Linked DNA regions of Bombyx mori. The protein of the gene in region 1 interacts with the protein of each later gene in a pairwise test. Links are inferred from orthologs where the notes say so. Each region holds a gene or a part of one and is shown in the gene's direction. Other genes may lie near its edges. The genes, in order: pumilio homolog 2, regulator of gene activity and brain tumor protein.

What was found.
Region 2: the proteins of pumilio homolog 2 (region 1) and regulator of gene activity interact in binary tests that used the Drosophila melanogaster proteins (3 or more experiments, as listed by UniProt). The link is inferred for Bombyx mori from reciprocal best matches to the Drosophila melanogaster genes pum and Rga.
Region 3: the proteins of pumilio homolog 2 (region 1) and brain tumor protein interact in a two-hybrid assay, tested with the Drosophila melanogaster proteins (2 studies listed by BioGRID, with this or other methods). The link is inferred for Bombyx mori from reciprocal best matches to the Drosophila melanogaster genes pum and brat.

What each region holds. Positions count from the first base shown.
Region 1 is NC_085121.1:13,327,057-13,330,714, forward strand, and holds part of pumilio homolog 2, read left to right. Parts: coding exon 1-369; intron 370-871; exon of another isoform or gene 872-2,114; coding exon 2,115-2,289; exon of another isoform or gene 2,290-2,432; coding exon 2,433-2,530; exon of another isoform or gene 2,531-2,823; coding exon 2,824-2,983; exon of another isoform or gene 2,984-3,008; intron 3,009-3,658. UniProt on the Drosophila melanogaster protein: Sequence-specific RNA-binding protein that acts as a post-transcriptional repressor by binding the 3'-UTR of mRNA targets.
Region 2 is NC_085113.1:7,420,329-7,424,086, reverse strand, and holds the start of regulator of gene activity, read left to right. Parts: upstream 1-1,112; 5' UTR 1,113-1,471; coding exon 1,472-1,522; intron 1,523-3,404; coding exon 3,405-3,686; intron 3,687-3,758. UniProt on the Drosophila melanogaster protein: Component of the CCR4-NOT complex which is one of the major cellular mRNA deadenylases and is linked to various cellular processes including bulk mRNA degradation, miRNA-mediated repression, translational repression during translational initiation and general transcription regulation.
Region 3 is NC_085120.1:10,288,356-10,292,113, forward strand, and holds the start of brain tumor protein, read left to right. Parts: upstream 1-1,345; 5' UTR 1,346-1,551; coding exon 1,552-1,574; intron 1,575-3,758. UniProt on the Drosophila melanogaster protein: A NHL-domain family protein that functions as a translational repressor to inhibit cell proliferation.

The sequences.
Region 1 (3,658 bases):
ACACAGGACAGGAAGGTGCGCCGTACGTGAGCGCGTTAATCGCGGGAGTTCCGCCTTATTACGGAGTCGCAGCGCCATGGGGAGTATATCCCGGCCTCGTAGCGCAACCCGCGCAACAGCAAGCTCAGCAACCGCGACGGCCGCTCACTCCGCAGCAAGGCGAACAGCAGGTTAACGGGCAAGGCCAGTACGTGATTCCTTACTACGACCCCGGCTCGCTGGTCATGGGCGGCCGCAACGGTACCCCTCTGCGACTCGTGTCGCCGGGCGGCGTGCTCGCCCCGCGCCAGTACCAGCCGGCGCCCGCACACCCCGCCGCCGGCGCCGCGCCCCCCGCCCCCGCACAGACGCACCAGCCGCAGCCGCCAGGTAACAAACACCACGTGCAAACTTATGCGCACTCGCCACTAGCTCACTCACATTTACACTGCCTTCGATTGTTGTGTACATTTTACACACAAACAATGGCGAGCGTCTCGTTTTTTTATAGAAAAATATTATAATATAATTTATGATCGTTGAAACGTTCGATTAGAACTAATTTTTCATAAATTTTCTATAAACGCTATCTTTTCTGACTATTAAAAGTGAGTGTGCACAAGGGGATACTTCTTTTTTTTCATCTTGTACATAAAGTTACCAAACTGAATTCCAGATGCATGGTGTGTCTAAAATGCATAGCATATTTTGAATGAAATTTTGCTTAATCCTCGTATAAGTTTTTTAGTAGTTCGAAAAAGGAATAATAATGAAAACACAGGAAAATATTAAATTTTACTCTTACCAAATAGATTTCTTTAACTTCTAACAAAGTTGCAAGTATTGAAGAGAGGTGATGATAGTTTGCTTGCAAAATAAAAATGAATTCGACTAATATGCACAAGTATTTAATTTAGTTTACATTAAAATCAAATACCTACATCTCGTTGATAGTAGTGACCTTTTCATCTTATGCTTCTTTTAAAATAACAAGTGTCTCATATACATTTTATTATATAATATTCTCACTGCAAGTGACGGCGGCAAATGTAAATGTAGACGGCAAAACATAAAAATTTACATATGCTCATAATATTTTTTAAATGTATTAGTTTATGTACTATGTATATACGAGTAACAGTAATGTACATAAAAATTTTGAAGATTTACTTTACTTTTATTAAGTAGAAAAAAAATCACTCCATCAATAAAATATTAGGTACAGCTAGTAAACATAAGGTGCGTACATTAGTGGTAGTAACAAAAGGTCTCTAGATAAAGCCTTTTTTTTTCTTTTATAATATTTTACAATCTAAATCCTATTTTTAAAATTACTTAACCGGTTTTTTTATTGACTTTATTCAAAATTTCTGTTTGACTCTAGTAAACATGTATGTCCGTCTGGTTTTGGCACTGGCAAACATGTCTGTATATTTGAAAGAATACAGTATTACTCATTAAAGAAAAATATAGAATAATGTGAATACAAATATACAATCCACAAAGTAATAGCGTTTTTATATAAAATATAATATTTTTGAAAATATTTAGGCCCTCAAAAAACACTGAACTTTATTTTAATAAAGTAATATTATGTGAAGCTTAGAGAAGAATGGAATCTATTTAATTTGGTCTCCATCGCTTTTGTTTTATTAGTCTGTTTGTTGGAGGTTAGCAATAAATATAAATTTAATTCCATGCCATACTAGACACATTTTTCTCATTCTAAGAAAAAAATTAGAATTTGTGCTTTTTGGTTCCTTGTAGGTTTATAGTATTCTAAAACATCAGCTACCGATAGCGACTATTCCACAAAGCTGTTAACCCAATAAGACGAATAATATGTGAACTTAGATGATGATAACACATTCAAATCTGTATAGTAAATCCGAACAATTTATTACTTCCACAAATATACATGTTTACTGTGGCAGACACTATTTAAAAACACATTTGATGATCAGTACGCACCTAGTAGGTAATACCGGTATGAGTAAACGTGGAAGAGTGTAAAGTTTTGTACATATCGATGTCGCCACTCGCCCGCGAGGCCTCCGAGTTCGCGAGTCGTGTACAGAACGTAGAGGAGAGTGGAGGAGCAGAGTGTTGGAGCGCGGAGGTATGTCGTGTTACAGGCGGCGCGAGCGGCGCGCGGCGGGACTCGCTGGAGTTCGGCGGCGGCGGCGCCCTGCACGAGTACGCACGCAAGTGGGGCCCCTCGCCGCTGTCCCCGCCGCTGGGCGCCGCGCTGGGGCCCGTGGGGCTGCGGCCCGTGTCCGCCGCGCCCGGCGCCGAGACCGCCAAGTACAGGTCTGTTCGCGCGCGCACACTGTACATATCTGCGCTTCTGTACATTATTAATCCTGTTGCCGTTCGAGCTTGTCTATTTGTTCATTCTAAAATTTACTCGTCTGGTTTGCGTTCCTGAAGGTATTTTATCGTTTTCCTTTCAGAGCTGTGAGCAGTTTAGCCCAGGGACTCACCTCTAATGGAATGTTTGGTTCGTCTTCATCGCTACTCAGCAAACTCGGTGGAGTTGGAACTATCTCAGGTCGGTATCGTTAGCGGTGGTGCCCCTATGTCACCGTTGTCATGTACATATACATATACACGACTTGTAAATATGATTGTTGCATAAAATGTATATTTTAATTATGGAGGCCAGTCTACCGCAGCTTCTTCATGTAAATATTTAATCTTTTAACTAATTAATGATTTGCATAATCATGAATATAATAAGCAAATTATGATGTACTGAGCGAATAAGTTTCGAAGAAAGTTAGTCGTTGCTCATACAAAGGTATAGTGTGAAAGCAGTAGTAACATGTGAGCGTTTGCACACAGAGCTGGTGAGCGGAGGCGTGGGCGCGCTGGTGGGCGACAAGCCGGCCGCGGGGCGCTCGCGTCTGCTCGAGGACTTCCGCAACAACCGCTTCCCGAACCTGCAGCTGCGCGACCTCGCCAACCACATCGTAGAGTTCTCGCAGGACCAGCACGGCTCCAGGTACCGCACTAACCACAGGAGTTCTCTGAGGAATTGTGTTCGAGATGATACCGTCATCTCGTTTTTACCATTGCACCGCCCGCCACCGTATTAGAGTTCATCCATACTAACTGGAGTCACTGCGGTCATCCACAGAGGTCTTTGTTACCACGTACCATCCGGCTTTAGAATGAGCTCCCCTCCACGGTGTTTCCCGAGCGCTATGACATGTCCTTCTTCAAACGAGGCTTGTGGGGAGAGTATTATGCCGTAGGCAGCAGCTTGGCTCTGCCCCTGGCATTGCTGAAGTCCATGGACGACGGTAACCACTCACCATCAGGTGGGCCGTGTCCTCGTCTGCCTACAAGGGCAATAAAAAAAATGTATTTGTTTCTTGGTCTTGCGTCCTCATCGTCTGATAATGGCGAAAATCAGTTGAATACTACGAGTTGTTGCTCAAATCGAAAATTGAAGTTCTACTCTACAAACTACTAATGTTATTGCATCGAATCTTGCACGGGCAGCGCGGGCGATCTTGTCTATTAGTAAAGTAGTCACGTATTCGAAGGGTGGGACACTTTACACTATACACTAGAGGGTTCGCTCTCATGTCTCAAGGTGGTAACGAGTTACACCGGGGCGCGAACTTGCCCATCCAACTCATGAAATAACTAATACATGAAAGAGAGCGCATTT
Region 2 (3,758 bases), on another chromosome or scaffold:
TCTTTATTGAACAATCATATGATCTTAGTGTTGCCAAAAAGTATTGATCAGACATAGACAATTTTTTCTGAAATATTCAGAATATGAATCAATATATACATCTCGATCCTTCTTTGCTCGATGTCGGTAAGTGAAAAGGATATAAGAACTAGGTCGGCAGAGGCCGTATTCTGGTCGCTAGTCATAAAGCACGCAGAAAAACTTTTTGATTTTGTTCTATTTATGTAAATAAGATATAATAAACTTTTTTTAGCTATTATAAAATTTTTGGAATCAGATAGCGTTCCCATGTTTGCCGCCAGAGGCACTGTTTCCACTACATACAAATTTGAGATCTTTTACGCAATTGAGAAGTTAAAAAACTTGCACTAAGCACACCGAAGGACCGTCTTCTGACCGTTGTCGAAACTTTGTTAAATCTGCAATAACAGCAATGTGCACCCGATCCTTAAATATTTTCGTTAATGTTTTGAAATGAAATCCACAATTTAACTGCTGTTGTAAATTGTGAATTTGAACTAGGTAAAATGTATTTTTAACGATTTTCTACCCATCTGTACCAACGCCAGTGGTGGGCGAGCTCACAGACCTCTACCTGAAAGAAATTGTTAACACTGCTCTGGCTTCGCTGAATCTACTACCAGTTAAGAATCAAGATTCAATGAGAAACTCAGTGAGTGTCATAGGGGTTCAGTACTCTCAGTTAAGCTTCGATTTTACGACGCTAGTGGAGGGTACTTGAGACTGGGTTGAAGAAGGCCGAAGGCCTGGATCGAATAAGGCAACGACGATTGTTCGTTGTCATCATATAGGTCGGGAATGTAATTTACGGCGGCTACGATAAGAGGGCTATTACGCCGTGCAGCTTCCTCAAAGAAAGGTTCTGATGTTCTCTTCAAATATTAACGAATCGCTTCTAAATCCAAGTATTCGTGAAGATCTGAATCTTATACACCGTATACATTTTCCTTGTTTAAAATTTTCATTTTCTAATGTAAGATTTAGAAAAGGACGAAGAATCAAATATTTGCTATATATACCTAGTTAAATTTCATTAGATTGTAGTCTACGTAATGTGTGCGTAGATTGCTTTCAGACGCCATCCAATCTGCCGGAAATGTTGTATTCACAGTGATACAGAAAACACCTCAGGGAAGATAATAGATGTCTGACTCGAACTCGTTTTCAGTTATGTTTAAAATATTTTTTGGTTGGGTTTTATTATAATGAGACCGTCCGATCCATTCATCTGTTCACCTATCGGAATCATTAGGAAAGATGAATGATCCACCAAGCTTCCGGCACTTTGCAGGAATAGTTTAGTTTTAGACAAGGGAGGTGGGTAGTTTATAATTTTCAAATAATGGTTGTGAAGTTTAGATTATTTAAAAAATAAGGCTTTAAGTTAAAAAATAATTGTTTTAATCCTAATTTAGAGATTTTTTAAAGTAATTCTGAACAAAGATAAGAAATGAAGAAACGAAGTTCTACGAGGCACAGTAGCCAAACTCATGAAGATCAGGTTTGCTACTTATAGTTATGCTGTAGAGTCTTATAAAACTCTCAAATACACGTTTAAGCACAGTATTATGTACAGTATTACAGGTTTATGTACAGTAACGATGCTACGGATTGCACTAGTATGGGTAGTATAGTAATGTAAATTAAATAATTTTATTGTAAATTCTTAAAAATATTAGTATAAATTTTAAATGACAGATCTATAATAAAGAGACAAAACGATTTATACTATTTAAACTATTTAATAAAATTGTCAAAACTATTTTTATTTTTTAACAAACTAATTCATACGGCCTGGTTTTGAAGCTTTTTGATAATTTCCGTCTGCTTCTTCAACCTTTTAACAATATGGCCGCCTGTTGTTTAGGGTAATGTGGCGTTCAGCGAAATCGTATGAAAATTTTAAAACATTTATCAGTGACGTAAAGATGTATCAAGTTTACAGTGTTTTATAGCAGCGTTTTACGCGAAGACAGTTTTATGTACCATTTATATTGGTGTTTAAAATTTTGAATGCACAAAAAACATCAAAATTGGACAGTCAACAAATCTTGTTTATTACATCGAAGCGGAAATATTTATCTTGGCAGAGTATACGCGATTATGAACCATTCTTATTCTTTATAAAATAGTTGAACAAGGACTGATAATAGGTAAATATTGACAACGTTCTCAAAGTGAGCCCAACAACATCACAACAAAAATTGTCGCCATTGTTTGACAGGGGCAACTAAGCCATTTACTGATCTTTAATACATTCTCCATATCCTCTCTACTGTATAATATGCTCAACTGAAAACAGTTTTGTGATGCTCTTCAACTATCATCTCTCTCATACGTCATGCATACACTTAACCAAAGTTTAAATTAATAATAAGCAGCATGCAATTCCATATATAGTTAAGTATTCCTTCTACTTTCTCTTTCACATTTCCAACTACTTTACAACCGATTACTCCATGATTTAAATATTAGTTTTATTTATATTATATATTTATAGCCCATATTCCATAGAGTTGAGTCACACAAAATTGATCTCTTTTGTCTCAAACTTGATAACAAATTTTCTGATTTACAACAAACATTGTATTCAGAGGTTCTGCACATATTGGCACAGAATTTAACTGCTTTTCCGTTTAATATAACCATTGTGTCAACATACTGTAATTACTTGTGCAAAATACTTAAATTGTGAAAATTATTCTTATAAATGAACTCTAAAATCACAATACGAACCAGATACTGATAATGTAAGAGCAATAAAAATTATATCTGCTTATAAAATTGGAACACGATTTAAATATTTGAAATTGTAAATGAAATAGGCATGAATCTGAATAAATTTTATTCTACATCAACTTCGTCTCACACTTCCTTGACAATACCTCTGTAAAATTATTAAATATGTCCACTACATGATTATAGTCCATTGTGTGTAGTCATTTATCTATTATATATTATTAAGAGGAACTTTTACCAAGTAGATGGGTATTTTTGCTTAAGAAACGTTTTATGTTTTAGATCAAAACTAAATTAAATCTAAGCATTCACTAGGCACAAGTCAGGTTTCCGGTAAATGTAGCATAAAGATGTTATCCTTTTCCCCTACCTATGCTGATAGCCTTGAGAGGCTAGCAGAGGGAGATATTTCAGCTTCCACTGAGAAGATCCAACTAGAAACTCAGTGGGCTGTGTTTATTGGTTAATTTACTCGTTGAGCCCTTCGCCACAAGCAGTGGGTTGTGCAGGTTCAGAGAGGACGGTGGCCGGTGCTTAAGGTACCTAAAAGCACCGTTTATAGATCGGGAGATCCGTAATGACGTGCTTAGGGCAATGTTACCTACAATAATTATATCATATTGTAAAAAGGCTTATTTTTTTAGGTTATGGCAAACTTGAATTTTCAACAAGTGCCTCGAAGCCTAGCTAGTGGCGGAGTTGGTGGCGTTGGAGGCAGAGTGAGCTCAGGTCTTGTTGGTAGTGTCTCAGGACATGTGACACCAACTTTTGGGGGCGCCTTGTCGCCTGGCCGTAATTCAACTGCAATGCCAGGCGGAGCTCCCCCATCAATGGCATCTAGAGCTACGTTGTTTGGTCAACGAGCTTTTGCAGACCGAAGGGTTACAATGCCAACAACTTTATCTCAAGCTAATTCTAATTCAATGGTAAGTATTTTAAAATATTAATTGTGTATATGGCTAAAAATCAAATTAGTGTTTTCTGCTGATAAATATAAA
Region 3 (3,758 bases), on another chromosome or scaffold:
GTTTAAAAAAAAACCTTTAGTTTCATAAATTTTATTAACACTTTTAGTGTTTCAAATGCTTTGTCGTAAAAAAAAGTAGCAAGTTGTTGTAGCAAAGCTTTTAGTGAAAATCAAAAACTTATCGAAGATACACCAACAACATTTCTAATGTCAACATCCTACTTATGTGTTTTATTATGTTTTTTCCAAGTCATTTCTTTTCATCTTCTCACCAAACAACCTTTAAAATAAATATTAATTCTACTATTTGATCTTAAACGAATAGTACCTAAATCCGAACATTTGATTGATGAACGTGAGAAAATGTAAAAAGTATATAAACGGATAAAGCATTGCGTAAGCTATATCTAATGATATAGATTTATTTATTTTTATTCGCCTGTCCGTAATATTGAGTACAATGAACGCTGGCCGTTCGCCTTGAAAACCGGTCAGAACATTAAAATGTAAGTAAATTCGCCAAACACAAAACCGTATGTATATAAAAATAAATGCATGTAAAAATTGGTAGATAAATAAATTTTATTAATACATAATACAATGAAACAAACTATGAGTCAATGAAAATTCATTTAACTTACATCAGGTTGTTTATATGTTATTAATGATTGCTCATTACCATAAGTACCATGATCTAATAGTCTTCAGATATTGGAAATATCAGAAGCATAGCTAAAATTGTTGACTAAAAAGTTGCATCAAAATATCTTAAATAAAAATATATAAAAAAAAAACGAATAAATGAACGAAAAAAGCGATATAATATGTTTTTTTTTTTGTAGCATCTTCTAAATAAACACGAACAGTTGGTTAAGTAACCAATTTAATTTCATGAAGTGATTTAATTATTACGTAATTTTAAATGTTAAAATTGATAAAATACACGCGTATCCAAGTTCTTTCAAGACTAATTATAATGCCATTATTACATCAATGCATTAGTTTCACAATATAATATTGGTAAACACAAAATCCGTCTTAAACATGAATTCAAACAACATAAATGATCTAAGTAAAAATATACTAGTAACGTGCTAAGAATAAACAAAGTTAAAGTCGTCAAATTTAACAAAAACTCTGTAAAGTTTACACTTCGATTTACTTCGATTTGTACTGATGTATCTAAGGAAAACCAGAGTTAGTAAACTTAAATGACCCCATATCTGAATAATAAAGAGTACTGGAAAGTGCATTAAACCTGCGCGTTCAAGTTTGAGAAGCGACTAGCTCGAACCGATAATATTTAGGGTTCTTTTTGTTGTAATGATCTCGTCCGTAAAGTATGGGTGCCTGTACCGGCGGCTCAACTTTTTTTATTTTCGAAAACATGACCCTCGCATTCAGTTATGATTCGTCCGTCGACGCGAGCGGTCGTGTTCCCGCGCGCTTTTGAATTCTAGTCATTGTTCCCAAAATTACTTAGTTTGTTTTATTAACTATACGTACGAATTTAGAATAAGTGAGTTCCTTTTTTGAAATTACTGTTCTTGTGTGTGTTCCGTAATTTAGGTCTTTTATAAGTAAACGAAGAAAACATATTTAATTTTTTTAATGCACGGATTCGGTTTGCTTTGGTAAGTGAAACTTGTGGATTAAGATTATGTATTACTTAAAACTACTCTTATGTAACTATTCAGAGTAATTTAGTAACGTATTTGTGACACCGTTTCATAACGTTAATAAGACCGGGGCTTTATTCGAAAACAAAATGTAACCGTTTCAACAGATGCTCTAAACTAAGAACCGCGAACGGAATGAGTCGGTCATTACTAAAAAAACACACACACACTATTACAAAATTATTATTGATTATTAAAAACTAATTTCGCTCAGAACGAAAAGGTCACAAGTTTGACAGTTGACAAAGGCGGTCCGTACTTTTAAAAGTGGTTGGTCCGTCAATGTCGCGTGTCGGTTACCATGTTTTTTTTTGGCATTGTATCTTGTTCAAGGCTTCGTTACGTCACGTAACAATTTAGGCCTGTTCCTACGTCACAACGGCCGTAATCGAGAATCGGAACAGCCTTTGATAGTTTAAAAACGTGATCAATCCGTTCCGGCCGAAGTTTGTCTCGGCTTACCGTGAGAAGCGCCTCGGACTTTGAAAACTAATTGGTACATATCCTTTGTTTTTGCTCAGCTTTTTGTTATTAGACGTAAGGTTGTTTTCGGTAAAAAATAATATTGCTCAGATGAGTGAACGAGCTCACGGCCTACCGTGTTAGTTACGCCGTTAAGTGGTTAGCCCGTGAGCATCACAATTTTTTTCTACCTATGCTGATAGCCTTAAGAAGCTATATCAGCTTTACCCTAGCGTGTGAGCTCTCGGGGCTCAAATCAGAGGTATTGTTAACACTGGCCCTAGCAAGAGCAGTGCTTCGCAGAATCTACCACGGGATCGGAATCGCGACCCACTGATAAGATCCGGCGAGAAACTCAGTGGACTGTGTCTATGGGTTCATTTACTCGCCGAGCCCTTCGTCGCCAGCGACGGGTTCGGCGAGAACTGACCGGTGCTTGAGGTACCTAAAAGCACCGTTAATGGATCAGGAGGATCCGTAACGACGTGTTGTCGACTGTTTACCATTCGGTCTACAGGATCGGGTATGACCATCATAACGCGAATGCCAGCACCCTCCTTTATATTTGAGGTTCATGTCTCAATTGTTCTGCAATCATGTATTTTTGCATATTATTCCTTCACTATGGAAGTCTTTTGTGAACATAATAATAATATGTGCGTTTTTTCATTAGAATATTTGATACCCGCCTGTGGGATTAGAACATCAACAAAGTCGTATCGCTCGCTACAAGTACATGAGCTGTCTTATCGCTTAGACCACGGCTCCTTCGATATTTGAACGATAATTGCCACATTAAAAAAACAACAACAATGAGATCCCGATCGTGCATAAACTCAATGTTATTCAAATGGCGGGAATACTTAAATGAAACTCATATTGACATTAAAATTAAAATTTAAAAAAACATTTCAAACAAATTAATGCAAGAACCTTTAAATCGCGGTCTCTGTCCTAATGAGGCTTAGGACTCATTCCGCCTTTAAAGGTTACACGGAACAAAGAAGGTCGTGACTCTCGAATCAAACAGACAAACGTCACCCTTAACGTTTGCGCATAAGATAAAAAATCGTACAACATCGTGCGTTTTGATGTGACGCTCGGCAAATCGGTTCGGATCTAGAATTGATTTGAGAAACGGCTCTCCGGCTGTTCATAATTAACATGCACATTACAATATAGCTATAAAGCGCTAATTGATTGAAAAGGTTAATAAACGGATAAATGGAAACGCGCTGACACTGGCCGGGGGATTATAAATAGATTGGCGTATGGTCGGTAGTCATTAGGTTGCGATTTACTTTACGATTTCCGACGTTGGTAATTACTCGGATAAAAAAAAAAAAAACTTATTAAATGCGAAATTCAAATTTATAAGGCGTGGCATAATTTGGGGTGAAATCTATATATCTATACTTCTATACTTAATATTATAAAGAGGAAAGATTTGTTTGTTTGTATTGAATAGGCTCCGAAACTAGTGAACCGATTTGAAAAATTCTTTCACTGTTTGGAAGCTACACTTTTCCCGAGTGACATAGGCTATATATAATCTTTTTTGAAAAAATTAGGGATCCTTACCAAAACTCCAATAATGTAACCCAAGGTGTAAAAAAATGACCTATAATATTCTTTACATCGCGAAAACTATTGATGATAGAATAAAACAATGTACAA